7 linked regions of the Rattus norvegicus genome follow. The protein of the gene in region 1 interacts with the protein of each later gene in a biochemical or structural test. Links are inferred from orthologs where the notes say so. Each region holds a gene or a part of one and is shown in the gene's direction. Other genes may lie near its edges.

Region 1 (3,500 bases):
ATTGTTCCCCACCTATGTTCTGTGTGTGTGTGTGTGTGTGTGTGTGTGTGTGTGTGTGCGCGCGCGCATGTGTGTGCGTGTGTGTGTGTGCACATGTGTGTGTTACATGCACATGAGCATACAGGTGAGCACAGCCATGCACGATGTGCAGAGTCCAGAGCAGAACATCAGGTGTCTCCCCTTTCACTCTTGAGACAGGGTCTCTCACTGAACCGGAAGCTTGCTGGTTCACTGAGCTTGCTAGGCTGGCTCGGTGAACTCCTGGGATATATCTGGTTGCACCCCTCAATGTGGGGGTTACAGGCTAGCATGCACACCATGCTCTGCTTTTTTAACTTAGGCGCCAAGGAACTCAGGCCTTGGTGCTGGCAGAGCAAACTTTTGCAAGCACTCCTACCCACCGAGCCATCTCCCCAGCCCCGGCTTGTTTTTTTTGAAGCAAGATATTACTATTAATCCCAGGCTGGCCAGGAACCAGCTGTCCCTCAGTCTCTCAATTGCTGGGATGACAGGTGTGTGCCAGCCATAATATTTTGCTATTCCAGAGTGCTTCTACATGCCAGTGGCTGTACCTTTGCAGCGCCCACCTCAGGATCTACCTACTCCCTGTTGATGCCTGTGGAGGCTCTTCCATTTTTCTCAAGTTACAAATAATGCTGAGTATGAATAACCTTGAGTGACCTCACACATTTTACATGTTGTGTTTAAGTGTATCCTACAAATGTAATGTCTGTCTGTCTGTCTGTCTATTTGTCTGTCTATCTATCTGTGCTGGGGATAGAACCCATAGCCTCAAGCATGCTAAGCACATGCTCTACTGTAAATGTACTTTTCATTGGCTTGATGTAATTGTTATCTTGGAGGCTTATTGTGTCAGTCTGCTAAACTAAGCCTAGTCCCAGACGCTTCCAGTCTCTGTACAATGTAATCTAGGCCTAGAGTGTTTTCAGCCTCTGAGACTTACTGCTGCATAGGCTCACCCTTTCTTGTTCTTTCTGAACTCTGGTTGGCTGGCTCAAACCTACTCTCCTAGCTGACTGATTCAAACTGACGTCTTTCTGCTTCTCACTGAATTGCTTTGCCTGGCCTCTAACTCTGGCAGTCTATTTTAATCTTCTGGCTCCTTTTTTTCTCTGGCTTGTTTTGCCTTCACCTGTGTCTAGTTGGTTCTCTCTTCAACCTGTCTCTATAAAACTCTCCTGGTAAAATTGCCTCCTCCCTCTCTCTTCCCCTGCTCTCACAAGTTGCCTCTCTTTCCTCTCTGTTCTTGTGAGAGTTAGGCATATCCTATCTCTGACTCATTCTGTCAAATCTTCCTCTGCTTCGTCACTTTGTCTGTCCCTCAATTGGACATCACTTTCAAACATGTCTGCTTCCTTCTACAAACTAACTTTACCTTCATTGTTTGGGATTAGAGGTGTGTACTAAGGGTATGTGTGTATTCCATCTAGATCACACAGAACCTAGAAGGTCTTTGGATATGATCAGAGCAGCCACATTGCTGGATTAAAATTCCTTTATGTTCAGGAAGCAGATCTCCTGGAGTTGAAAGCCAGACTGGTCTACATAGTAATTTCCAAGCAGACCAGAGCTACATACTGATATCCTTCCTCACTGTAGATAAATAGGTATATTAACAAAAATTAATGGACAATAATGAAGCAAGTATCCAGTGTGAAAATCAAAATGCAAAGCCCTATGGATATTGTCCCATATGGGTTAAATATATGTGTTGCCGGGATTTGAACTCAGGACCTCTGGAGGAGCAGTCGGTGCTCTTAACCACTGAGCCAGATCTCCAGCCCTCATATCAGTTTCTATAGGTGTGGAATATTTAAAGAACACAGAAGCAATGGTGACAGTCATTGGGCAGCCAGGTGTGGGATGGACCACGCACAACTATTGCTAATTGGGAAACAAAAACAAGTAGGTGGTGGCTCCTGAGGATGCAACTTAGTTGGTAGAGTGATTTTCTAGCAGGCAGGAAACCCTGGGCTGGACAATACCATTACATACACTAGGTGTGGTGGCACACGCCTGTGACTTCAGCCTTGGGGACAAAGAGGCTGGAAGATCCAAAGTTCGAGGTAATCCTCAGCTGGATAGGGAATTCCAGGCCAGCCTGGGCTATATGAGAGCCTCTTATAAGAATAAGTAAATACAGGGCGTGGTGGTACAGCACTTGGGAGGCAGAGGCAGCCCTGAGTTCAAGGTCAGCCTGGTCTATAAAACAAGTTACAGGGCTGGAGAGATGGCTCAGCGGTTAAGAGCACCTGACTGCTCTTCCAGAGGTCCTGAGTTCAATTCCCAGCAACCACATGGTGGCTCACAACCATCTGTAAAGAGATCCGATGCCCTCTTCTGGTGTATCTGAAGACAGCTACAGTGTACTTATATATAATAAATGAATAAATAAATCTTTAAAAAAAAAAAAAAAACAAGTTACAGGACATCCAGAGCTACACAGAGAAACCCTGTCTTTTTTTCTTTTTTAAGATTTACTTTATTGGGGTTGGGGATTTAGCTCAGTGGTAGAGCGCTTGCCTAGGAAGCGCAAGGCCCTGGGTTCGGTCCCCAGCTCCGAAAAAAAGAACCAAAAAAAAAAAAAAAAAGATTTACTTTATTAATTTTATGTACACCATTGCTGTCTTCAGACACACCAGAAGGGGACCTCGGATCCCATTACAGATTGTGATCCTGAGCCACCATGTGGTTCCTGGGAATTGAACTCAGGACCTTGGCAGGAGTCCTGAGCCATCCATCTCTCCAGCACGAGTAACCCCGTTTTAAAAACAAAAACAAAATGAATGAATGAATGAATGATTTCCTACCCCCACAATCGAATTTCCCCCGGCCTTCTCATTAATCTCACCCTCTACTTCTTGCAGATTGAAACCCACAAGCTGACCTTCAGGGAGAATGCCAAAGCCAAGACAGACCATGGAGCAGAAATCGTGTACAAGTCACCTGTGGTGTCTGGGGACACATCTCCACGGCACCTCAGCAACGTCTCCTCCACGGGCAGCATCGACATGGTGGACTCTCCACAGCTTGCCACGTTAGCCGATGAAGTGTCCGCCTCTTTGGCCAAGCAGGGTTTGTGATCAGGCCCCTGGGGCCGTCACTGATCATGGAGAGAAGAGAGAGTGAGAGTGTGGAAAAAAAAAAAAAAAAAAGAATGACCTGGCCCCTCACCCTCTGCCCTCCCCGCTGCTCCTCATAGACAGGCTGACCAGCTTGTCACCTAACCTGCTTTTGTGGCTCGGGTTTGGCTCGGGACTTCAAAATCAGTGATGGGAAAAAGTAAATTTCATCTTTCCAAATTGATTTGTGGGCTAGTAATAAAATATTTTTAAGGAAGGAAAAAAAAAAAAACACGTAAAACCATGGCCAAACAAAACCCAACATTTCCTTGGCAATTGTTATTGACCCCGCCCCCCCCCTCTGAGTTTTAGAGGGTGAAGGAGGCTTTGGATGGAGGCTGCTTCTGGGGATTGGCT
Region 2 (4,293 bases), on another chromosome or scaffold:
GGTCACTAAAGTGCTTTTCCGTGGAGCTGCATTCCAGCCCCAGCTCTGATGTGTGTGTGGTCACATCTTCAAATTGGGCCTGCATGCCACCACTGCTCCTCCTGGCACCCCACTGGAGGAGAAGACTCAAGATGAACTGGTCAATGACCCTCTAGACCGCAACACTGAAACCCTTTTTACTGCCATCTGGAGATGGAAGCTGGCCCTTAGTAACCCATGAAAATCATCTCACCACACCCACTCCTTGTCAGTGTTTTAAGCCAAAACTAACAGGCCTGGGCCCGGCACCCTGTACCCTTGGAACCAGGTGTTCCACCTCTTCCCATCCTGCGGAGTCATGTGTTGCCATATCTGCTGCCAAGCCTTGTTAGGAGGCTTCTCCTACTGCCACCCTCTGAGCAACAGCTGGGAATGGGAACCCCTGTGCAGGCGGCACTTCAGCAAGCATCCGAGTGGTGTGTGAGCCCTTGGCCCTACCTGACAGCCCGGTAACAGCAGCCTTGCCATGTGCTAGCCTGGGCTCTGTTCTATTACCTGAGCTCAGGGGATCCTCCTGCCTCAGCTCTGCAAGTGACTAGGACTAGAGGCACATGTCCCCATAAATAGCTGTTCTTCTGGCTTGTCTCTTAAGTGTGTTGGGTGTTTTGCCGGCATGTATGTCCCTGTAGGGCTGTCAAATCTGGGTGTTGAGTTGCGAATGCTGTGATTTAAATCTGGGTCCTGTGGAAATGCAGTCAGTGCTCTTAACCTCTGAGCCATCTCTCCAGCCCCTACACTTCTTTCATGAAGAAAAGGAAAAGTGCTTGGAAAAGGCAAATGCATGTGCCGAGGGGCACACCTGCAACCCCAGCATGCCACAGCAGAGGCAAAAGGACCTTTGTGACTTTAAGGGCAGCCCGAGGATCCGATCGCAAAACAACTTGAAAGTTGTGCTCAGTAGGGGTGGGGATAGCTCCCCCTCCCAAGATTATACATCCGGCAACCGCCAGAAACAGGACAGTAGCATCAACACTTGGGTTCCCAGGGCTTGACAATGTATGGCTTCAAATCCATTGGGAGCCACCACTGAACAGCTCCTGAAGGAAAGGAGCATGTCCCCAGCCCGGGGATGGGGAGAGTTCACCCGTGGCAGAGGAATCAACAAAGAGGGGCCAGGGCTAAAACTCAGTTTTCATCCCAGAAGCTGAGCCTCTTAACAGATAGAGCCCCCCACCTATTTCCATTTAAGCCTCCAGCCCTTTTCCGTACAACGAATGCACCAGACCCCGCGGGAAAGGGGAGAAGCAGTACTCAGTGCCCCAGCACCAAGGCCTGGATTATTCAATGAGGAGTCAGCTCCTTTTTGGGGGGGGGGGGGGGTCACAAGGCATCAAAACTCCACCTCTTTCCTCTGCCCTGCTGTGAAGGGGGGGGGGGAGAGCAACCCGCCTCGTGACAGGGGGTTGGCCCAGCCCGCCCTAGCCCTGAGGAGGGGGCGGGGCAGGGGGAGTCCTATAATTGGACAGGTCTGGGATCCGGTCCCCTGCTCAGACCCCGGAGGCTAAGGAGTTGTTTCGGAAGGAGCTGGTAAGACAAGCTTGGGCTGGCGATTCACCCAGGGGGCTTGGTAAGACGTGGGCAGGGGACCTTGAAATCCGCTGGAGTCCAGGAAACAGGCACAATTATTAGAAAAGCAGGAAGCCCGATAGAAGACTTAGGGTGGCGGGGAGACAAACTAAGATCGTGAGGTAACTAGCCTTTGCCGGGGTCAGAACAGATGGAGGAGATGGAGGGGTCATCTCCAGGAGTATGGGACTGTCGGTGCACTGCATACGGGCTCAACTAGAAGGTAGTATCAATCTTTAGCGAAAGGACCCGCGATGAGCCTTAGGTTGCGTTTATATAAATACCTACTGATTTCCATCACAGTCCCCAAAATTACCCTGGGCCAGTTTCAAAGCGAAGATCCTCATGCCTGAGCGTCCGAAGTTCTGGGGTCGCGGGAGGGTACCACTTCGCAGGGATGGAGGACGATTAAAAACTTACATTAGTACTAAACCGAGAGCCCGGCTTAGCAGGGAAGGTAGAAAGGAATGTAAATTGGACCACCGGCTGTCCCTCTGCGTTGTGGAATTTGAACCCTAGGACTGGGAGCTGGAATTTTTGGCAGCGGGTCCACCCCGGGGTGCTGAGATAGAGATAGGAGGGGGAGGTAAATAGACCTTTGGGCAGATGCTCTATTGTGGAGATGTTTGTGATGACTCACAGACCTGAGAAGGGAATTAAGGTGGGGGCTCTTTGGGTGGCCCGAGTTTCTCCACCCCTACCCACTGGTGTTCAAAGACAGCTTTTCCTTCCGCAGACTGGCCAATCACAACTGGGAAGATGAAGGCTCTGTGGGCCCTGCTGTTGGTCCCATTGCTGACAGGTATGGGGCAAGGGGTGGCTTTCCCTGCTGGCAGGTTGGGGTTGGGGCAGTTCTGAGACCTCTGAGATTCAATAGCCCTGAGCAGCTGTTTTACATGCAGGCCTTGTCTTTCCCTATCCATAATATGAGAGGATTGATGCTCAGAGGGTAAAGGTGCTTGTCATAAAGCTCGAAGACTTATCTCGGAGCCCAACATGGTGGAAGGAGAGAGCGGATTCTCTCTAGTTGTCCTCTGACCTCCAAGGGTACACACACAGACACACAATTAAAAAGTTGAAGTGTGTAATTTCTTAGTCGCTTTTAAAGGGGAGGTATACATTTTCTAACCCCATACCAGCCTAGTCTCAGCTCTGTTCTACATAGGATACTAGACAGTGTATGCTTGTAGTATCTAAACAGACTCCACGACTGACTTCCAGACGCACTGTTGCTTCAAAGAGACCCAAGAGCACTGTAGGTCCTGACCCAGCCTTAAACTTACTACTCTACACAGGATGCCTGGCCGAGGGAGAGCTGGAGGTGACAGATCAGCTCCCAGGGCAAAGCGACCAACCCTGGGAGCAGGCCCTGAACCGCTTCTGGGATTACCTGCGCTGGGTGCAGACGCTTTCTGACCAGGTCCAGGAAGAGCTGCAGAGCTCCCAAGTCACACAGGAACTGACGTGAGTGCTCAGCGCTTCACCCTCCGCACCTGCTGAGTATCCAGATCCAGGGGTTCCTCCTATCTGGGCACCTACCTACTTGTTTCCTTTCTCCATGAGTGTGTGGGCCAGGTTGGCCTTGAACTCTCAATACTTCTGCTTTCTTTAGCCTTCTGGATACTGGGATGAACAGGCATTCATTTATGTTCTTGGTCGAATGGCTTTTGGCTTTTTGAGACAGGATCCCAATCTAACTTAAGCTGGCTTCGAAGGCTCTGCAATTCTCCTTCCTCAGCTTCTCAACTTCTGGGAATACAAGCGAGTACCACCGCACCTCGCTCTGTGGTTTCCTCCCACCCTAATTCTGACCTTTTTGTCTCTGCATTCATCTCCCTCTTGTGTTTCCTCTGGGCCTGCAGGGTACTGATGGAGGACACTATGACGGAAGTAAAGGCATACAAAAAGGAGCTGGAGGAACAGCTGGGCCCAGTGGCGGAGGAGACACGGGCCAGGCTGGCTAAAGAGGTGCAGGCGGCACAGGCCCGTCTGGGAGCTGACATGGAGGATCTACGCAACCGACTCGGGCAGTACCGCAACGAGGTAAACACCATGCTGGGCCAGAGCACAGAGGAGCTGCGGTCGCGCCTCTCCACACACCTGCGCAAGATGCGCAAGCGCCTGATGCGGGATGCGGATGATCTGCAGAAGCGCCTGGCGGTGTACAAGGCCGGGGCACAGGAGGGCGCCGAGCGCGGTGTGAGTGCTATCCGTGAGCGCCTGGGGCCACTGGTGGAGCAGGGTCGTCAGCGCACAGCCAACCTAGGCGCTGGCGCCGCCCAGCCCCTGCGCGATCGCGCCCAGGCTTTGAGTGACCGCATCCGAGGGCGGCTGGAGGAAGTGGGCAACCAGGCCCGAGACCGCCTAGAGGAGGTGCGTGAGCAGATGGAGGAGGTGCGCTCCAAGATGGAGGAGCAGACCCAGCAGATACGCCTGCAGGCCGAGATCTTCCAGGCCCGCATCAAGGGCTGGTTCGAGCCGCTAGTGGAAGACATGCAGCGCCAGTGGGCAAACCTAATGGAGAAGATACAGGCCTCTGTGGCTACCAACTCCATTGCCTCCACCACAGTGCCCCTGGAGAATCAATGATCATCCCTCACCTACGCCCTGCCGCAACATCCATGACCAGCCAGGTGGCCCTGTCCCAAGCACCACTCTGGCCCTCTGGTGGCCCTTGCTTAATAAAGA
Region 3 (4,005 bases), on another chromosome or scaffold:
CACCTCCTTGCTGCACCTCACCTCCTCCTCTCACTTCCTCCTCAGTCTCAGCTTCAGCAGCCTATTGGGGGCCCCTCCCTGGTGGGGGGACTCCCCCCTTCCTCTATGAGGTTCTTCCTGCTTGCCTTAGTGCCTGAGCCACGGACTCCTCCCATCACGGATGGGAGGTGTGAAGAGTCCCCGACTTGCCCAAGTTGAAGATGACAGGCCACTATCGGTTTTGAGGTTACTTGCGTGTAAAACCAACTCATGGTTCCAGTAATAATTATGCTTTAATGTCGTCCCACCACTCCAACCCACTGTCCTGGGTTTTCTTTTTTGAGAGTGAAAGGGTACAGTCTGGGAACAAGGGTCTCACGTAGCCCAGGCAGGAGATGAACTCACTATGTAGTTGAGCATGACCCTGAACTTCTGATCCTCCTGTGTCCAGACTCCTGAGTGCTGGAATTTCAGGCACTGGAATTACAGGTTTATGATACATTGGGTTCTTTAATGTGTTACTGTTTAAAAATAATACCTTTCCCCCCTTTTCTTTCTTTACTTTCCTTCCAGAGCCGGAGATAAAACCTCAGGCCTTGCACATGCTAGACAAGTCCAAGCATTCTACAAAGGACTTACAACAGGAAGGAGATAAAATAGTATTACATCACTTAACGAAAAAAAAAACCTGACGTAGCAGGCACCAAGGCAACCTGGACCAAAACATTGCTTCGAGTTCAGTAGCAGGTGTTCATGGGTCTGGCCATAAAGACCGAGGTGAATGTGAGGCTCTGGAGGTTTGGAGCTCACTCTCAGTGTCATTGAGCCTTAGTTCCTTTTTCTGCACTTCGAGGAATTACTTTACAGTGTTTGAGAAGTCAGCGATTAACATGCTCACACCACAATCCCACGCAGGGCTGGGGTGGGAAGAGACTTGGAAAGAGAAAAACAATTTCTACAGTACTTCCGGTTCTAACTCATCAGAACGCAGCAGGGCGATTCCTCCTGGGTGGAGCCGACCCAACTCCGCCCTACAAACCCCGCCCTCCACCCCTGCCAGGCCTCGCCCGGCCGCCCGAGGCCCTCCCCGGCTGCAGTGCTTCCGGTCCAGGGGAGGCGCTAGAGAGCAGGGAACTACGGACGCGGCAGGGCGGGGCGGCCGGCCGAAGAGGCGGGGCGGCGGGCCGAGGGCGGGCTGGGGAGGGCGGAAGGAGAGCCAGGCCGGAAGGAGGCTGCAAGAGGGCGGGAGGCAGGAGAGGGCCCGGAGCTGGTGGGCCGGAGCGGCGGCGCCGCCATGTCCGACAGCGAGAAGCTCAACCTGGATTCCATCATCGGGCGCCTGCTGGAAGGTGGGTAGGGGTAGGGAAGGTGCGCGCGCGCCGAGCCTGGGCCCATCGCCGTCCGGAAGTAGAGCGCGGGCGGGCCCGCCGCTCTCGGGGGCTAGCGTCGCTTGGGCGGGGACAGGCCGTGAGGTTCTATGGCCACGGCAGCCCTCCCTACTCCCTGCGCCTAGGCTTTGGAGCGCGCTCCGAGGCCGGGGACGCTTGAGTGGCCGAGACTCAGGGTGAGACTCCTGCGAAGCTAGCTGGGAAGGGGTTCTGAGGCGAGGAAGCTTCGGTTGACAGGCTGCTGAGCACAGGCGTGTCTCTGGAGGGCCTCCGGGTGGCTAAGGGGTCGTATCTTGCCTTTGAAGGCCTGATGCAAAGGTTTCAGCGGGGGCTCCCTTGCAACAGTTGCTGGTGTTGGGGAGGGGCGCATGACATTCGGTCTGCGAGGTCAGGGTCCCAAGACCCTATTCCGTACCCAGTGCAGGGCTCACGGCCTGGAAAGAATGTGCAGCTGACAGAGAACGAGATCCGTGGTCTTTGCCTCAAATCCCGGGAGATTTTCCTGAGCCAGCCTATTCTTCTGGAGCTTGAGGCGCCTCTCAAGATCTGTGGTAAGCCCTTGCTCAGAACCCCTTAGCTTCCTCAAAATAGCCCCTTACTCCTGCCCCAGTACCTGTGTTTCCGTTGCTGGCCCTGGGTTCAAGTTTACATCTTGGACCTACCTAGTCTTCTCTGGTTCCCAGGTGACATCCATGGCCAGTACTATGACCTTCTACGGCTGTTCGAGTATGGTGGCTTCCCTCCAGAGAGCAACTACCTCTTCTTGGGGGACTATGTGGATCGGGGAAAGCAGTCTTTGGAGACCATCTGCTTGTTGCTGGCCTATAAGATCAAATACCCGGAGAATTTCTTTCTACTACGTGGGAACCATGAGTGTGCCAGCATCAACCGCATCTATGGCTTCTATGATGAATGTGAGTGCTTTGAATGTTGCTGGTTGCCCAGAACTACATTTCCTGCACTTCATGGGCCCCCTAAATTGTTCTAGTGCTGAGAACCCTGATGATGGGTCCTGCAAAGCCCCAACCAAGCTGTCTGTTATCCATGGCACCAAGGAAGGGCCTGGTGAATGGATGTACATGCAGGGCTGCCCGTTTGCTAAAGCTTCCTCCACAGCCCTGCCCGATGACACTTCCCTCTATTGCATCCCTTACTAAGCATTTAGGGTGCATGTTATGAATAAACCAGACACTGAGGTTAGGCCAGACTGGAGTTCAGGTTCTTGTGGACCCAGGTGTTGGAATTCTGGAAGGTAGATGAGGGCAGAGCAAGGAAACTGTAATAAGCTTTCTTTGCCTTCTAGTCTTTGCACTTTGTCAGAGTAACCCACAAAGTACCCTGGAGGAGTGCACAGAAAACTATAGACTGGGTTTTGTGTGGTGGGTGGTCTTCCCTACGAGCCATTTTCTTCTGTGCAGGCAAGAGACGATACAACATCAAACTGTGGAAGACTTTCACCGACTGCTTCAACTGCCTGCCCATTGCAGCCATTGTAGATGAGAAGATCTTCTGCTGCCACGGAGGTCAGGATGGTTGTGGGGTCTGTGCTTGGGCTATATCCTTAGGGGCCTTGGAAAGTTAACAGAACTCTCCTGTTTCCTGGAGTAGCTCTCCTTGAATTTGGCTGTCACTTATTACAGGTCACCCACAGCCCAGTTTGTTTTTGAGACAGGGTTTTTCTGTGTTCTGGAACTCACAAGAGTTCTGGTTATCTCTGCCTTCCAAGTGATGGGACTAAAGGCCTGCACCACCTCACCTGGCTACACACCCCAGTTCGACTGCGCTTTCCTGTTGTGGTATTTAGCATGCTATAGGCAACTCATTCATCTCCTTCCCCCACGGAGGTCTACTCTTTTTTTTTTTTTTAAATATTTATTTTATTTATTATATATGAGTACACTGTAGCTGTCTTCAGATACACCAGATCTCTTTATAGATGGTTGTGAGCCACCATGTGGTTGCTGGGAATTGAACTCATGACCTCTGGAAGAGCAGTCGGGTGCTCTTAACCGCTGAGCCATCTCTCCAGCCCGTACTCTTTGTACTTCTAAAAGCTGAGGGATGGCCAGGTGGCGGTGGCATACAAAGGGAGTTCCCTGGGTTGGGGATTTAGCTCAGTGGTAGAGTGCTTGCCTAGCAAGCACAAGGCCCTAGGTTCGGTCCCCAGCTCCGGGAAAAAAAAATGTTAATACATAAAATATCCAATAAAAAAAAAACTGAAAAAACATATTCCTAAAAAAAAAAAAACAAAAACAAAAACAAAAAAAACAAAGGGAGTTCCCAGACAGCCAAGGCCACATAGAGAAATGGGGCCAGCAGGAATATAATGAACTCTGTTTCCCTAAACTTAAGGAGCCCAAAAGATGAACCCAGCGTTGGTGGGGAAAGTGGAGCTGACCCCTGAGACCTTTCTGGGCATGGGATAGTACCTGCTTTTCGGTGTAAGGAACACTATTCTCACTCTACCACCCCAGGCCTGTCTCCAGACTTGCAATCCATGGAGCAGATTAGACGTATTATGCGGCCCACGGACGTGCCTGACCAGGGCCTGTTGTGTGATCTGCTGTGGTCTGACCCTGACAAGGATGTTCAAGGCTGGGGCGAGAATGACCGTGGAGTCTCCTTTACCTTTGGGGCC
Region 4 (4,111 bases), on another chromosome or scaffold:
GGCGGGTCACCTCCAGAACCAAAACACTGGTGCAACTTGGTTCTGGCTCCTGGAACCCGGCCAACCTGTGACCAGCATCTTCATGCGGATACCTTAGAGCTCTCGTTAATCTGCAAAGACCGTGACCTCCTCCTCTCTAGGTTCAAAGAGCTGCAGTAGGGAAGAGGGCTAGCTAGAAAAGCGAAACCAGCTTGAGAAACAGCTTGTGCTCGCAAAGGGAAGGCACATGTCCCCGCGCGCCTTGTACGTGGGCGACCCGGGAGGCTGAGGGTTGGGGAGTGTTCTACCCAGTAGCGTTCGGTTTCCCGTCTCTGTTCACAGAAAGGTGTCCGCAGTCACTCACCCCCACAGCCCCCGTGCCCTGTGACCGATCCAGGTCAGCCATCCCTCCCCCCTCTGCGCTCCACACCTCCACAGTAATGTGGGCCTTCCAGGGCCACGAGTCGTACAAACGTAGCCCATGGTACAGAGACTTGGGGAAAATATTTCCCCAGGTTAAGATCGTGGCAGAGAAAAAGAACCAGCCGAAAGGCGATGAAGACACAGCCCCCGCCGCAGCAGGGGAGGTGGAGCCTCGGGGGGAGGGGTTGAGACCGCCGAGACAGGCCTAGAAACTGCTGGAAGAAATCGAAGCACCGCCACTGCTGCTCCTTCCGCCACAGGCCGCCAAAGAGTCCCTGCTAGCCCAGGCCCGCGCCCCTCCCCTCGGAGAAGCTGCTCCCCGCCTGCCGCTTCGCTGTACCGGGGAGGGTGGGGATCAGGGACTCCTTAAAGTTGGACAACGAATTTCTTATCATCCTTTTCTCTCGATGTGCGATTTGTAGGGAACATTCTAGTAAGATCGGGTCTGAAAATGGCAGCCGAATTGGTCACCTCCGTTCTCTTTCAGAAGTCCCTTGAGGACTGGACTCTTGAGGGTGGGAGCGCCTACATCGAATTTTCTGCGCGAGTCCGTGGGGTATTCGCCGCAGATACATCCCCTAATAGCATATGCATGCTCCCTGGCCATCTTGAGGGCTACATGTCCTACTCATGCAGAAATGAGGGTACCAAACGCTATTGAATTGGCCTTGACTCGCAGCCCAGGCCCGGGGTCCCGCTCTTCCCCGCCCCCTCCCCGGTCTGCGAGCATGACGTCAAGGTGGGCGGGCGGTGGCAGGTGCGTGGCTGGCAGCCACTCCTTTAAGGCGGAGGGATCCAAGGGCGGGGCTAGGGCTGTGCTTCGCCTTATATAGGGCGGTCGGGGGCGTTTGGGAGCTCTCTTGAGTCACCCCCGCGCAGCCTAGGCTTGCCGTGCGAGTCGGACGTGGTCCGGGCCCACCCTGCTCTGTACTACTACTCGGCTTTCTCGTCAAGGTAAGGCCGCGCTCTCCTGTACTTGGCGGCTCCGTGGGTCTTCTTCCTGGGGTCTCCGCCAACATCTCATCTGAACTAAAGGCTCCTTGTTGGGCTGGGCGGTCTGCGGGGATAATGTGCCTAGAATGTCTCCAGTGGCTCATGGTGGACCCCGGCGGGCTTGCACCGCGAGGCTCCCCCGGGGCCGGTGGATTCCCCAGAGCGTGAGGTGGGGGTGCGGCCGGGCCAGGTGGTGGGCGGCCGCACGTGGTAGCCGCCGACCCGGGACGCTGCCATGTTTGCCCTCCACTTCCGGGCGCGGCTGCAGGGTCCATAGGGTCCGCGCGGTGGCGGGCTGCTATGTGCATGACTCAGCAAGACGAGGTTGGCCTGGCTACCTCCCCCGGACGCGTTTCCCAACGTGTTTTGTTCTGGGGAGGGGTACAAGGGTTGGCAGGAACGCTTGAACCCACTGCGTTTGTCCCTTTCCAGATCTTTCTGCTGCCCTCCCCGTGGAGTGGGAGGAGAAACGGGGAGGGAGCAGGTACGGGGAGATTCTTAGGTCCCTCCCTTACTCCTCCCCTCCCGGGAGCTCAGATTGTTCTGGAAGCCTCGGGCGCCCCGCCCCAGTGCCCGGATGCTGGGGCGGTGGGAGGGCTACAGTGGCGCCCCCTCCCCGTGAGTCTCCTGGCGACGCATGTCCGGGTCGCCGGACGGCTGGGCCACCATTTTACTTGTGTTTGGGCCTATGCAAGTCTGCACAGTTCAGCGTTCATGGTGGAGCTTTTTACCTCTTTGTCCTGATTTAATTGCCCTTTGAGTCCTTCCAGAACTATAGCTTCGGGTTTTCTTGCCCTGCCGAGGGGAAGAGCACAAATCCGTTTACGGGAGGCTGCTCTTTCTGTTAAAGTTGATACTTAACCCCAGTGAAGAATGAAGAAGAAATTGGGGATCTTATTGTATAGTTAACTCAGTCTGGATTTTTACTATATCGGCAGGTGTTCTGTTCTGAGTCAGGGAGCTGAACTCTTAATATGCCGTTCAAAAAGTCTGACATTTGGACATTAGTTTGAAGAGCCATCCTTTGGGTTTTTTTCCATTCTTGATTTGTCTTGCCACTGTAGCTTTAAGGTCTTTCTTTTATTTCTTTCTTTTTTTAAACAAATGGCGGTTCTAGTCTTGGGAATGGGTACTACCCAGATTAAAGAAGTTTGAACTGAACTTTTAATAAGACTTTCATTCTTAGATGCCTGAGGAAGTGCACCATGGAGAGGAAGAGGTGGAGACCTTCGCCTTTCAGGCAGAAATTGCCCAGCTGATGTCCCTCATCATCAACACTTTCTACTCAAACAAAGAGATTTTCCTCCGGGAGTTGATCTCTAATGCTTCTGATGTGAGTGTTCTGTTGAATTTCTAAGACGCCACAGAAGAGTGTGAGTGAGTGAGTGAGTGTGAGAGAGAGAGAGAGAGAGAGAGAAGCAGGGAGTGATTAGAGTAATCCAGCAGTTGATGAGAAGGAACTGTTTGGATAAATGGAATAAGTGGCTGTGTACGTGTACATTACAGGCCCTGGACAAGATTCGGTATGAGAGCCTGACTGACCCTTCCAAGTTGGACAGCGGGAAAGAGCTGAAGATTGACATCATCCCCAACCCTCAGGAACGCACGCTGACTTTGGTGGACACAGGCATTGGCATGACCAAGGCTGACCTCATAAATAACTTGGGAACCATTGCTAAGTCTGGTACAAAGGCGTTCATGGAGGCTCTCCAGGTGCGTGTGTGGCCTTCCACCCATGCCATTCTCAATTTGTTACTGCTTCTGGCTTGCTAATTTAAAACTTGTCAGACTAGGATGTGTGGTCTGTCTTTCTAATAAGTACTTGTGGCCTAGATTCTGGAAGTTGAACTGATTACTACACTTGCTCAGCAAGCGGTTGTGCTTGTACAAGAACAGTTTTGCTCACTCTCTTACAACCCTTTGCAGGCTGGTGCAGACATCTCCATGATTGGGCAGTTTGGTGTCGGCTTCTACTCTGCCTACCTGGTGGCAGAGAAAGTGGTTGTGATCACGAAGCACAACGATGATGAGCAGTATGCCTGGGAGTCTTCTGCTGGTGGATCCTTCACTGTCCGTGCAGACCACGGTGAGATGGCAGTCTACGTTGGGTTGGTAGAATTCTCTGGGGGAAAGCCAGAAAGAAGCAGCCTTAATAGTTACTGTACTCTATAAAAGTACATTTTTGAGGGGTGAATGGCAGCACTTGGGACATGGCATACACGGGTGGTGGGTGAGTTGAGGCAAGCCAGGGCTGTGCAGAAACAGATCGCTTGAGAAACCAGGAACAAAAAAGAGGTGTACCTGTTTGTTGAGTATTTTAGTTGCAGTTTTTCATGTCTGGTTCACTCTCTGTAGGTGAGCCCATTGGCCGGGGTACCAAAGTGATCCTTCACCTCAAAGAAGACCAGACAGAGTACTTAGAGGAGAGGAGGGTCAAGGAGGTGGTGAAGAAACACTCACAGTTCATAGGCTACCCCATCACCCTCTATCTGGAGAAGGAACGCGAGAAGGAGATCAGTGATGATGAGGCAGAGGAAGAGAAAGGGGAGAAGGAGGAGGAAGATAAGGAGGATGAGGAGAAGCCTAAGATTGAGGATGTGGGATCTGATGAGGAGGATGACAGCGGCAAAGATAAGAAAAAGAAAACAAAGAAGATCAAGGAGAAGTACATTGACCAGGAAGAGCTGAATAAGACGAAGCCCATCTGGACCAGAAA
Region 5 (3,500 bases), on another chromosome or scaffold:
ACTTTTTGGGGGAGCCTGGGGACATGCAGCTGTGATGGGTCACAAGAGGACTGGAAAGGTCCCAGTTCTTACTCATAGCCCAGAGCCTAGGGAGTGATTGTTTCTCTTCCACAGAGAAGCGTGTGTGTGTGTGTGTGTGTGTGTGTGTGTGTGTGTGTGTGTGTGTGTGTATGTGTGTGTGCATATACTTGTTATGCACGATTACATAGATGTGCATATGTGTTCCTATGTTTATGTATGTTCTATACATGTGAGTATACACATGTGTATGTAAGTGCATGTATGTGTATGAGTTTGTGTGTTTGAGTGGGCACACATATATGTAATGTGTTTTTGGCTCCCTCTATCCTATACCTTGTTGCAGGCCCCCTGCACAGGCTCAGTAGCACTAAACTGTCTCATTGCCTTTGTCCCCAGGGCAGGAAGATCCCAACAGTTTGCGTCATAAGTACAACTTTATCGCTGATGTGGTGGAGAAGATCGCCCCTGCTGTGGTTCACATTGAACTTTATCGCAAGTAAAGAGGCCTTCCTTTCCCCTCAGTAATAAATGGCACCAGAGCTGCTTTTGAAGCACATTAAAGTGTCAGGAATGTCACCGGGCAGACTCCTGTACTACACTCAAGTTCTCTGCCTTAGGAAAAGTCCTCTATTTAGACCGACACTCTTGGCCCTTTAAGCGTTTTAATAACTTCTAGCTCTGAAGTGATTCCTAGGGAATATTTCCTAAGTGGAAATATTTTTGGTGCATTCCAAAAAGTAGCTCGGTGTTATTTTTAAGACATCAAACGCTCGCTAGATGTGTGCGAGCTGCGCTTGCGGGGTCATTCACTTGTGTGTGCAAATGAGGCTTGGTCAAGCTCAACCAATGTCTGTTCCAGGCTTCCTTTCTCGAAGAGGGAGGTGCCAGTGGCGAGTGGGTCAGGATTCATTGTGTCGGAGGATGGACTGATTGTGACAAATGCTCACGTGGTGACCAACAAAAACCGGGTCAAGGTTGAGCTGAAGAATGGAGCGACTTATGAAGCCAAAATCAAGGATGTGGATGAAAAGGCCGACATTGCGCTTATCAAGATTGACCACCAGGTGAGATGCTTCTGAGGCCCAAGTGCCTTCTGGGCCTGCAGCACCCAGCTCTCAGAAGGTGAGGTGGAGATGGTGAGGACATCAGCTCCCTGGTACTCGGAGAACGTTCAGCAACAACACAGAAGCTGCAGGACCAGACAGGTCTCATCAAAGAGAGACCTGAGAAAAGGAGGAGGGAGGAAGGAGGAGGGAGCCGGGAGGAGAGAAGCCCTTGGAAGAAACTCACTCTCAGATCAGAGGTTTTTAAAGTAGCATTTTATCTTTATAAAGCAACAAGCTACAAAGAAGTTACTGGGTAGCTGGTGAGAATGGAAACTCTGGTCCTTGAGATGAAACATGTATTACAAAGTTATGTTTCTTTCCACTGAGGTGAACCTGGAGTCTCTGTGGCTAAAGAATGGGCTTTAAATTTTTTAAAAATTATTTTTAATTGTATGTTGTGTTTGTAAGTGGGTGTGTACACAGAGATGTTGGATACCCTTGGCTGGGGTTACAGGGTTATAAACCACTGGACACTGAGTCTCTGCAAAACTAGTATGTCCTCTTAACTACCGAGTCATTTCTCCAGCTCCTTGTTAATGTATGTATGTATGTATGTATGTATGTATGTATGTATGTATGTATGTGTATATATATATATATATATATATATATATATATATATATATATATATATATATGTATGAGTACAATGTAGCTATCTTCAGACACACCAGAAGAAGGTATTGTGTCCCATTACAGATGGTTGTGAGCCACCATGTGATTGCTGGACTTTGAACTCCTGACCTGTGGAAGAGCAGTCAGTGCTCTTAACCACTGAGCCATCTCTCCAGCTCATTAAGCTTTTTATACTCAAGGTTTTGGGAACCTTAAGACGAAATTAACACCTCTTCCTTGAGTCCCTTAGAATCCTTAGTATGATGTCATGGTCATAGTCCCCTTAAAAGGGCTGCCGTGCTCTATCTACCCAAATTATAGCCTTCCATGGTGGGGAACTTAGAATCAGGGCCAGTACAAAACTAAGTCACAGTGAGAGTGAGCTCCATTTGAAAAATGCTTGTATGGAATTGCTTTGTGGGTTATTGGGGTAACTACTTCTAGTCCTATCTGAATTTTATTATTTTATTTACTTTTTGGAGATTGTGAGACAAGGTCTCAAGTTCTAGCTGTCTTAGAACTCACTTTATAGACCAGGCTGGCCTTGACCTCACAGAGGTCCTCCTGGCTTTGCCTCCCAAGTGCTACCACACCCAACAAAAAAATTTATTAAAAGAAAAGAAAGAAAATAATTTTAATTTAATATTCTGTTTATGGTTACTTTTTGCTCAGCAGAGCCTTTATTTTTATTTTTAGGTCTCGAGTAGCACAGGTTGCCTTCATTTATAATCTGTGGATAGCTTTGAACCTTTGACTCCCTTGCCTCTATCTTGTGTATGTGAGGATTATGGGCATGTAGGACCAAGCCGGGCTCACACAGTATTGTGGACCAAACCAGGGCTTTGTGAGAGCTAGCCAAGCACTCTGCCACACCTCCCACACTTGTTTAGCGAGGCCTTCATGCCCGAAACTGAATACAGTTCTTACTGGATCACCAGCAAAAATTCCTAGTCCTCCTCATGGTGATGTGATGTCTGTTTGCACTTCTGGTGAGATTGGAGTTTCTGTTTTCTTCCTGCCATTGGAAATTCCTTCAGAAAGAAGGTAGAAGGGTCAGTGGGAATTTTGTGGTTGGTGCAGAAAAAGACGTGGGTGGGGCGGGTAATGAAGCGTAGCATTTTCTTGTGAAGCTCTAGCTTGCTTCTCATCTGACTGAGCTATGAAGTCAGCTAGGTGTGAAGTCCTACTATGAAAGCTCAGGGTACTGTTGGGCAGTAGGACTCTGGGTCCCTTTATTTCTTTTATAGCGCCAGGCAGCCTTTCAGAACCCCTTTCACACCCAGCTTGTTCCCTTACCTTCTCAGAGGCTGGGGTGGTGAGGGCTGGGGCTGAAGTTTGCAGGAACAGGCTCTGGGCCCATGTAGGTGACTGACTTTAGTGTGATCACAAATGTGTGTTATTTCTGCTAAGTTGCTGTGAAATTTCTACCAACAGCTCATCTTTCTAAATGTGTTTATTGGTACCAAAACAGTTGGTCCAGGCTCTGACTTCACATCTAACCGTTCTCTAATACACAGAATAGCTGTGTTATTCCCATTTTATAAGAGAAGAAAGAATGCTCAGAGACCACTTCTCTATCTTTTCACCCCTAGCTTCCTGGGAGCCAGGCTGCAGATTCCAGGCACCCAACTCCACTGCACAGGCCCAGAGCCTGGCCTTCACAGGGATGGACTAGCATGACCTTAAATAGCCCATGGAAAGGTTGGCGTGTCCCCATTTGGGAATGCTGCGAGCAAGGTGTCTAGAGTCTGGTGGTAG
Region 6 (4,261 bases), on another chromosome or scaffold:
GGAGCGGCAGAGATCTCTCCTACTCTCACTGGGGTGTAGGGATTGCTTTCACATCTCTGACTTTGGATCTTCCACTGCCATACCTCGGCGGCCCGTCTTGCTCTCCAACTGTCACTTCACTTTCTTGAGTGTGCCTTCTTTCCAGGATGTAGAACTCTTTGTCCACTCCATAGGACTCCTGTAACATTTGTGGGGGCTTGTCTGGGATCTGAAGATCAACACACACATACACACACACTCACGCACGCACGCATGCACACACGTGTGTATGTTCATGCACTCGGGTTTGAAGATCTCTACTTAAAGTCAGTGTAACTGACTGAAGACAGCTAGGGAGGGGTCAGAGAAGCCTCGATCATCCGGTACCCCAAGCGACATCACAAAGTAAGGGTCTCTTCCCAGCCATGATTATCATAACCGTCTCCCCCAGTCAGCTCCCTTTTATTGTCTATTGATGACTAAGAAGATTAGGGGACCTAATCTTTGGGGACCAGTGGCTTTGATCTCCTATAGATAAATGGTGAGTCGAACCAGAGCAGGGGTTTATACCTCCACCCCAAAGCTAACCTTTCCTCAAGAAAAGGTTACATTCCAGGGCAGGAAAACTTCATTCTACCTCTAGCATGTCGAGTCAACTTCTTGGTCTCTGTGATATTTGGGTGACTTTTGTCATGTAGCTCTTCCCACAGACACTCCGGACTCGAGGTGCAAAGGGACGTGTGTGACTAAGCTATCCTCCACTGGGGAGTCTTCTGGGTTAGTTTTGTGCCTTTGTGACAAGAGGCACAGCGTTTCTTCCCTATGTGAAAAGAGCACAGGACGGGCCATCTCTAAAGCATTTCTGGTGCAGACAGCTCAACCTTTGACCAGGGTGAGAAGGGAGAGAGGCCTAAGACACAGCTGGCGTGTCTTTCCCTCTGTGCAAAAGTACTAAGTTAGAAAGAAACTTACCGCACCCTGGTCCCTGAGAAGACTGGGTTCAAAGAGGAGTCTGGGGGTAACCACTGCCCAGCATCACCAGCCACAGCATGGCATACCTGTAGGAGGGGACCAGAAAGCTGGCAGGCAGGCAAGATGCTCAAGAGGCCTCCTTGGAAGCCAGCCATAGCCACACAGCCTCCAGCACTCAGCACCAGAAGTTTCCAGTTCTTGGCTGCGTATCTGCTGTTTGAATCAATTCACCCACGCTGTCTCTCCCCTCTTCCCACCAGCCCCCCAATCTTGCCTCTGGAACAGCATCAATATTCATATCCTAAATTTAAACGGCACAGAGAAGCTGACTCCACATTTCCTGCCCAACAGACCCATATTCTTTCTAGATCAGATCCAATTGTGGCTGCCCAGTGGGTCCCCAGGGTACCACTCAATGGGGCCCTGTATGCAGGCCCGGTGGTTGTCCAGCTCCTCCCTAACCTTGGCCCCTATTGGCAGTCGCAGTCTCAGCCTGCAGCGGACTGCGCCAAGTCCACACCCAGTCCTCTCTGGAGGAAGAAAAAGGAGCTTCTCTGTCTACCCTCCTAGTCCTCGGACACCGAAGCCAGAGAGGACTCCGGCGGCAAAAGGTGACCAGGAGGTGAGAAAGAGTCACTGGCAGGACCCAAGAAAAACCGCTTCTTTCTCTCTTTGCAGGGTGAGGGGGTGAAGGGGATAGGATGGGAATTGAGCTTTGAAACTTTTTAGAAAACCTTTGGGGACGTTTGGCTGCATTCCAAGGCTTCCGATGAGGCCGCCTTTCTTGTTTCCTTGTGACAGTTGTTGACATCTGTGCTGCCATGGAATTGTGTCTGTCCCTGTTTTCGTGAAGCCAGAGATCCCTTGGGTCATTTTTTCAAGATTCAGAATGACTACTGATGTTTTCAGAGATGGCATCTAGGGCTTCTTCTCTACGTCCTAAGGGAAGGATTTTCTTTCTTGGAATAGAGTCACCCCAAATCCCCAACCACAGCGCTCCCTTTCTCCTGGTAGCTTTTCCCGGGGGTCCCTGGAGCACCCAGGTGAGCTTTTCCAGTTTCCCTCTTTGAAATGCCAAGAACTACATCTCCAGACACCGCTCAAAAAAAAAAATTGCAAAGTAGTTGAATCTTTTCAGATCATTATGAATTGGGGCAGAGAAATGAGGGTTTGGGAGTGGCCCTGACTTCTCTGTTACCCCTCCTGGGGAGGGGCAGTCTTTGTGGGGAACCCCTCCCCGGACAGGCAGTACCATTCCAAGAAGCTCAAGCCCTGTGTTTTCTTTATAAAGTCTCCTCCATTTGTCTTAGGAGACAGACAACTAACTTCTTTAGTTGAAAGAATAGGGGAAAATTTGGAATGTCTAATGTAGTCGTGAGAAAACTCAAATTTTACGGACTTTCCTAGCACATGGGATGTGGTGTGACACCGTTTGTTCTTAAGCCTTAGTCCTTATCCACAAAAAGATCATTTAGCCTTTCCCTCCCCCAGCCGTTAGGACTTTGAGCAATATCAGTATGATGCAGAGTTTCTGGAGACTTTTTTTTTTTAAATCAATAACTGTGCTGGGTACGAGCCAACCCTCGGGAGAGTAGAGGCAAGAAGATCATGATTTAGGAGAAAACTTGGGGACAGTGAGACCTCGTGTCAATCTGAAAAGGAAAAACAGGCAGGTAATTCTGCGCCTGGCTTCTCCTCCCCTCCCCTCCTCTCCCCTCCCCTCCCCTCCCCTCCTCTCCCCTCCCCTCCCTTCCCCTCTTTTCCCCTCCCTTCCCCACCACTCTTTTCATGCCACTAAATGTTTCATAAAAAAACCAAACAAAGAAAAACAGTAACCAGGGGCGTTGGGGATTTAGCTCAGTGGTAGAGCGCTTGCCTAGCACTTTGCCAGCTCCGAAAAAAAGAAAAAAAAGAAAAGAGGAAAAAAAAAAAAAAAAGGTAACCAGGGCTGGAGAGATGGCTCAGCCCAGCATCCACACTGGCAGCTCACAACTGCCTGTCACTCCAGTTCCAGGGGATCTGACACTCTCCCAGCCTCTCTGTGGGCACCATGCATGCTCACACATACCAGCCTGCAAAACACCCAGACACACACGCGTTTCTTTTCTTCTTCTTCTTCTTCTTCTTCTTCTTCTTCTTCTTCTTCTTCTTCTTCTTCTTCTTCTTCTTCTTCTTCTTTTCTTCTTCTTCTTCTTTTTCTTTTTTCTTTTTTCTTTTTTTCGGAGCTGGGGACCGAACCCAGGGCCTTGCTCTTGCTAGGCAAGCACTCTACCACTGAGCTAAATCCCCAACCCCACGAGTTTCTTTTTAGCTAAAAGACCAACAAGAACGGAAAACACAAGTTAAGAAACCAAGAGAGAGCATCACCTCTTATCCCTTCAGGTTCTATTTATGGGAGGTACTTCAGGTATCTGGAAAAGACGAGCAAACTGAGGAACCAGAGGGTCAACAAAGGCCAAAAACCTTCCTTTCTCTTGCTGAGATCGTTCATAAAAAATGTAAGAAGTTACTAAAATCTAATATGTTCATCATGGAAATGACTTTTGAGTGTCTTTTGTTTGTTTACTTATGACGGTGCAGATTCTGGCTTAAGGATCAGAACTCAAGGCCAGGAGCTGTCTCTGCCTAAGTAGCTGGTCTCTGAAATGAGCCCAAGGCCGCCTCTCTCTCAGAGAGTTGAGCAGCCATCCCCGATTCCCCAGGCTGTGGCTGCTGCATCAGGTGCTCTCTTGAAGGCTGTTTGCTTCTCGCAGGCACGCATGCCTGTTCACAAAGAAGCTGCTGTACTCTGAGGCCAGGCTAATGAGTAAGCACAGAACGCTGGGCTGTGCCTTGGTCTCCCTTTGTCAGCATGCCAGGAGAATCATATGACCTTGGAGTCCGTGTTGCTGCAAGGTCGCTTCACTGTTACTTTTCAAAACAGTTGGTACAGGGATACCTTTAATCCGGATGAATTTTACAGTCTACTTTTTTTTTTTTTTTTTTTTTTGGAGCTGGGGACCGAACCCAGGGCCTTGTGCTTGCTAGGCAAGCGCCCTACCACTGAGCTAAATCCCCAACCCCTCAGTCTATTTTTTTTGTTTGCCCCCACCTCATCCAAAAAAAACCTCATGTTTTTATTTAAAATCTTAAACGGATATATTAATTCATATGAAAATGAGCTTTGTTAGGTCTTTTTTTAAAGGTATTTATTTATTTTATGTATGTGAGTACACTGTCACTGTCTTCAGACACACCAGAAGAGGGCATCTGATCCCATTACAGATGGTTGTGAGCCACCAAGTGGTTGCTGGGAATTGAACTTAGGACC
Region 7 (4,176 bases), on another chromosome or scaffold:
GGGTTGAGCATGGATGTGGAGGCTAGCAGGCATTGGGTGCCATGAAGCCTTCTGCTTGGTCCCTCTGTGTCGAGGTCTCAGGACCTCTCAAACTTTCTCTCCCTTTCATCTTTCATTTGGTTGTTTATTAAGCACCTGCTGTGTACCTCACTCTGTGCGCACCAGGAATTAAAAGGAGAGGGGGTTACATATAGCCAAGGCTGGTACAGTAGTCTGGGGGCTCCTGAAAGGATTTGGAGACCCCCTTCTAAAGGATATGACTTGAAACATTTTTGTTGCTTGCTCTTCCTTCCCTCCCTCCCTCCCTCCTTCCCTCCCTCCCTCCCTCCCTCTCTCCCTTCTTCCTTTCTTCTGTGCGCTTATGGGAAGGCATGTATGTGAACCACGAATGTGTGAAGGTCAGACGTCAGAGGACAGCTTGCAGGACCCTTTCTCCCATCTCTCTCTCCACCATGTGGGTTCTGGGGACTGAACTGAGGTCAGCAGGGTTTATGATAGGTGCCTTTACCTGCTGAGCCATCTCCCCAACCCAGGAAGTGACTTTGAGCTGAGAGTTGAAGTAAACTGATTGGGGAGATGTCTTAGTAAGGGTTATACTGCTGTGAACAGACACCACAACCAAAGCAACTCTCATAAGGACAACATTTAATCATTTAATCGGAGCCGGCTTACATATTCACAGGTTCAGTCCATTATCATCAAGGTGGGAACATGGCAGCATCTAGATAGGCATGGTGCAGGAGAAACTGAGAGTTCTACATCTTCATCTGAAGGCTGCTGGCGGAATACTGGCTTCCAGGCACCTAGGATGAGGGTCTTATAGCCCACACCCACAGTAACACACCTACTCCAACAGGGCCACACTTTCTAATAGTGCTGATCCCTGGGCCAAGCATATACAAACCATCACAGGAGGGGAAGTTGTCAGGGAATTTGCAAAGGTCTTGTGGCTGGAAGGCCTGGCCATCTCCTCTTCAAGCCACTATACTGCTGCTTCAATTAACACTTTTAACACCTTTCCCCCAGTGTTAGACAACTTGTCAGACATGTATTCATTCAGCAAAACTTAAATGAGTCCCTCCTATGTGCTGGGGACACAGATATGACTCGTGTCCCTGCCTATGAAAGACTAAAGCTGACTTTGGGTCCTGCTGGACCCAGGGCTTTGGACTGGTATATATGTCTTCTATCTGTAGCTGTGTCCTAAGGCGCCAACATCTCATTTTACAGGTGAAACTGTGAGACGAACTCTCCCAGGGTGGCAGGGTCCCCTTCTCAGGACCTTAGTCTGCCTATCTGTTTAGTGGGTAGGGTGTCTTGTCTGTTCCCAGATCTCTCCTCTACCTGGGGGATTTCTGTCGCCCCCAGCCAGGACCATGGGCAGCAACAAGAGCAAGCCCAAGGACGCCAGCCAGAGGCGCCGCAGCCTGGAGCCCGCGGAGAACGTGCATGGGGCAGGTGGCGCCTTCCCTGCCTCACAGACACCAAGCAAGCCTGCCTCCGCCGATGGCCACCGCGGGCCCAATGCCGCCTTTGTGCCCCCCGCGGCCGCCGAGCCCAAGCTCTTCGGAGGCTTCAACTCCTCGGACACTGTCACCTCCCCACAAAGGGCGGGGCCTCTGGCAGGTAGGCCCTCCTCCTTGCTGAGTGTCCCAGAGCTGTGGTGCACCCTTTCTGGGTTCTGGGGACTTGGTTTTCCAGAGGCTGCGAATGGAGAAGGGCTCGTAAACTGGAAAGCGGGGCTCCTGCCGCTTTGGGGATGCCAGATTCAGAGTATAACGGGTTCCGAAGGAGAGGGTTGTAGGGGACCCCGAGACCCGGAGGAGAAGGACCACCATGGACTAGCTGCCACCTCCCGCCCAGCCTTTGTTCCTGGCTCTGTTGTGTGGTGGCCCGAGTGCGCCCCTGCGCCCTCTGCTGGCGCTGCGTGGTGCGGCAACCCTGCCGCCCAGGGGCTGAGCAGGGTGACTCATGCTCCTGCATACATGGCTACACCCACACGAGCAAATCCCACGCTCTGACGGAGCCATACTCACGGCTGCACACCCGTGCGTGCAAATCCCGCACTCGGACTCAGCCACACGCACGGCTGCACACCCACTCGTTCAGATCCCACCCAGACTCAGCCATGCTATGTGCCCACATTGGGCATGTCCTCGCACTGAGTGGAGACGACAACAACAACAAAAGGCCCCCAGTGTTCCTAGAGACACACCTAGGCTAGACGCCTGCAGTGCGGAGCACACACAGACACAGGTGTGCATACAACCTCGCCCCCTCAGGTGGGCCTGTGCGCCTGCTTGCACGCAGAAAGCAGACATGGGCTAAGGTTCCCAGCCCCACATCCCACCACAGACCCTTGGACAGGCTGCCCACTCCCTGCCATGCAGCCACACACCCATTCGACCATTTGAGAGGCGTTTGTGGAGCCTTGGGCAACGGAGGGTGGGCTGCAGGAGTCCAAGGAGCAGCCGTGGGTGAGGGGAGAATCAGGAGAAGAGTCCTGAAGCTTTGCACCAAAGCCTTAAGTTGCCAGGCACACATATAGGCGGGGCTTAGGGCACCTATTGTGTGCTGGGTCTGAGTGCAGAGCAAGGGAACCTGTTCTCTGGGGCTTCTGCTTGTGTCAGTAGACATATCAGATAAGGAGCACCTAGTCTGCAGCCCGGCAGGGAGGCACAGGCTACTTAGCTCCCTCTCAGGGACAGGCTGGTGAGTGAGAAAGGCAGCCTCCCACGCCCACCCCCTGCAGGGTTCTGACACCTCCCATCCCACTCTGCAGGTGGGGTGACTACCTTTGTGGCCCTCTATGACTATGAGTCACGGACAGAGACTGACCTGTCCTTCAAGAAAGGGGAGCGGCTGCAGATTGTCAATAACACGTGAGTGGATGGACGGGGACTGCACTGGGAGCGTGGGTCCATCTATACCCAGAGCTGCCGGCAGAGGGCGGTGCAGAGCCTACAGGGCTGCTTCTGCAGTTGGTGGGTGGTGGTCCTCCCTAGACCCCGACTAGTCTCCTCCCTTGTCCTGGGTCCTGTCTTCGCACCTCAGCCTCTCCTTCTCTCTGCTTCTCTCTCGCTGGCCCTTAGGAGGAAGGTGGATGTCAGGTGTGTACCGAGGCCAGGTAGAGGGGGATGCTTCGCTGAGGCTGGGGACTGCTCTCTGCATGTGCTTCCTCCACTACCCCTGTGTGTCTCCAGCTCTCTCCCTGTCCTTTTAGCTTATCCTGCATCCCACCTGTTTGATCCGACCCTCCATTTTCTCCCCACACCTTCCCGTTAGCTCTCTTCCTCCCTCTTCTGGTGTGTGATTCCATGACTGGGTGCCAGCTACTTGCAGGACCCAGTGTATTCTGGAGGCCAGGGAGGGAGGCAGTGTGGTGGGGAATGGGTTACCCCAGACTAGGCCAGGGGTGGGTAGGAGCAGTCTGGGGTCCCTGCAAGATGACCCTGAGAGAGGGGGCTGTCTCTATCGGACTGCCCATCCAAGGAAGGACAGTAAGCTACTGCAGGTAAGGGTGGGCAGTCTCCCTGGGAGGGGGGCAGCTGATGGTCTGTGCTGGGCTGAGGACCTCTCCCTGGAGCAGGTAAGGCTTGGGGACTTTGATCTGAGCTGTTCTGGAGGGTAGAGAGGATCCGTCAGAGAGTGCTCCCAAGTCCTGGCTAAAGAGGTGGGTTTTCCATTTCCCTATGCGTGTCTCGGTGCTCATACCTCCTGATCCTTGTGCATGCTACTCCGTTTGCCTGAAATATTTCTTCTCCTGTATCCACCTGGTGAACTCCTATTCACCCCTCAAGATCCAGGGTAGGGCTGCCCTCCCTGCAAGCAGGTGCCATGTGCTGTTCTGGCCACTCTCATTCATACCCCTCCATCTTGTTATCACTGGTCTTGGGGGCAGCAGTGACGGGGGAGGGGCTGCTCTAGTTTGTGAACGAGGAAACTGAGGCTCAGAGTCATGAAGGCCCTTGTCAGAGGTCACGTGACTGCCAAGTAGTAAGCCCAGAATGGAGCCTGCTCTCCTTTCTCTGGACTGGCACCTGGGGAGGGGCCTCCTCAGTACCTCCTTCAGTGGCCAGCGCTCCTTCCATCCTCATGGGAAGCCCCTGAGTCCCCATGTCCCCAGCTGTTGATAGAATTGGTGGCCAGGAGGAGAAGCGGTGTGACCCTGGTGCT

What was found.
Region 2: the proteins of Mapt (region 1) and Apoe form a complex in vitro, tested with the Homo sapiens proteins (2 studies listed by BioGRID, with this or other methods). The link is inferred for Rattus norvegicus from reciprocal best matches to the Homo sapiens genes MAPT and APOE.
Region 3: of the proteins of Mapt (region 1) and Ppp1ca, one has a biochemical effect on the other in vitro, tested with the Homo sapiens proteins (2 studies listed by BioGRID). The link is inferred for Rattus norvegicus from reciprocal best matches to the Homo sapiens genes MAPT and PPP1CA.
Region 4: the proteins of Mapt (region 1) and Hsp90ab1 interact in a biophysical measurement, tested with the Homo sapiens proteins (2 studies listed by IntAct). The link is inferred for Rattus norvegicus from reciprocal best matches to the Homo sapiens genes MAPT and HSP90AB1.
Region 5: of the proteins of Mapt (region 1) and Htra1, one has a biochemical effect on the other in vitro, tested with the Homo sapiens proteins (2 studies listed by BioGRID and IntAct, with this or other methods). The link is inferred for Rattus norvegicus from reciprocal best matches to the Homo sapiens genes MAPT and HTRA1.
Region 6: the proteins of Mapt (region 1) and S100b form a complex in vitro, tested with the Homo sapiens proteins (2 studies listed by BioGRID). The link is inferred for Rattus norvegicus from reciprocal best matches to the Homo sapiens genes MAPT and S100B.
Region 7: the proteins of Mapt (region 1) and Src form a complex in vitro, tested with the Homo sapiens proteins (3 studies listed by BioGRID and IntAct, with this or other methods). The link is inferred for Rattus norvegicus from reciprocal best matches to the Homo sapiens genes MAPT and SRC.

Annotation. Positions count from the first base shown.
Region 1 is NC_086028.1:89,729,125-89,732,624, forward strand, and holds part of Mapt (microtubule-associated protein tau), read left to right. Parts: intron 1-2,888; coding exon 2,889-3,104; 3' UTR 3,105-3,500. UniProt on the Homo sapiens protein: Promotes microtubule assembly and stability, and might be involved in the establishment and maintenance of neuronal polarity.
Region 2 is NC_086019.1:88,481,900-88,486,192, reverse strand, and holds the start of Apoe (apolipoprotein E precursor), read left to right. Parts: upstream 1-1,493; 5' UTR 1,494-1,566; exon of another isoform or gene 1,567-1,606; intron 1,607-1,672; exon of another isoform or gene 1,673-1,727; intron 1,728-2,322; exon of another isoform or gene 2,323-2,341; 5' UTR 2,342-2,364; coding exon 2,365-2,407; intron 2,408-2,900; coding exon 2,901-3,069; intron 3,070-3,467; coding exon 3,468-4,194; 3' UTR 4,195-4,293. UniProt on the Homo sapiens protein: APOE is an apolipoprotein, a protein associating with lipid particles, that mainly functions in lipoprotein-mediated lipid transport between organs via the plasma and interstitial fluids.
Region 3 is NC_086019.1:210,913,371-210,917,375, forward strand, and holds the start of Ppp1ca (serine/threonine-protein phosphatase PP1-alpha catalytic subunit), read left to right. Parts: upstream 1-1,205; 5' UTR 1,206-1,273; coding exon 1,274-1,328; intron 1,329-1,786; coding exon 1,787-1,918; intron 1,919-2,050; coding exon 2,051-2,281; intron 2,282-2,785; coding exon 2,786-2,890; intron 2,891-3,841; coding exon 3,842-4,005. UniProt on the Homo sapiens protein: Protein phosphatase that associates with over 200 regulatory proteins to form highly specific holoenzymes which dephosphorylate hundreds of biological targets.
Region 4 is NC_086027.1:22,929,112-22,933,222, forward strand, and holds the start of Hsp90ab1 (heat shock protein HSP 90-beta), read left to right. Parts: upstream 1-1,311; 5' UTR 1,312-1,356; intron 1,357-2,581; coding exon 2,582-2,728; intron 2,729-2,901; coding exon 2,902-3,108; intron 3,109-3,321; coding exon 3,322-3,481; intron 3,482-3,750; coding exon 3,751-4,111. UniProt on the Homo sapiens protein: Molecular chaperone that promotes the maturation, structural maintenance and proper regulation of specific target proteins involved for instance in cell cycle control and signal transduction. Undergoes a functional cycle linked to its ATPase activity.
Region 5 is NC_086019.1:194,952,069-194,955,568, forward strand, and holds part of Htra1 (serine protease HTRA1 precursor), read left to right. Parts: intron 1-417; coding exon 418-517; intron 518-880; coding exon 881-1,085; intron 1,086-3,500. UniProt on the Homo sapiens protein: Serine protease with a variety of targets, including extracellular matrix proteins such as fibronectin. HTRA1-generated fibronectin fragments further induce synovial cells to up-regulate MMP1 and MMP3 production.
Region 6 is NC_086038.1:12,378,282-12,382,542, reverse strand, and holds the start of S100b (protein S100-B), read left to right. Parts: upstream 1-1,461; 5' UTR 1,462-1,573; exon of another isoform or gene 1,574-2,624; intron 2,625-3,333; exon of another isoform or gene 3,334-3,449; intron 3,450-4,261. UniProt on the Homo sapiens protein: Small zinc- and- and calcium-binding protein that is highly expressed in astrocytes and constitutes one of the most abundant soluble proteins in brain.
Region 7 is NC_086021.1:166,543,312-166,547,487, forward strand, and holds the start of Src (proto-oncogene tyrosine-protein kinase Src), read left to right. Parts: upstream 1-1,376; coding exon 1,377-1,626; intron 1,627-2,782; coding exon 2,783-2,882; intron 2,883-3,092; coding exon 3,093-3,110; intron 3,111-4,176. UniProt on the Homo sapiens protein: Non-receptor protein tyrosine kinase which is activated following engagement of many different classes of cellular receptors including immune response receptors, integrins and other adhesion receptors, receptor protein tyrosine kinases, G protein-coupled receptors as well as cytokine receptors.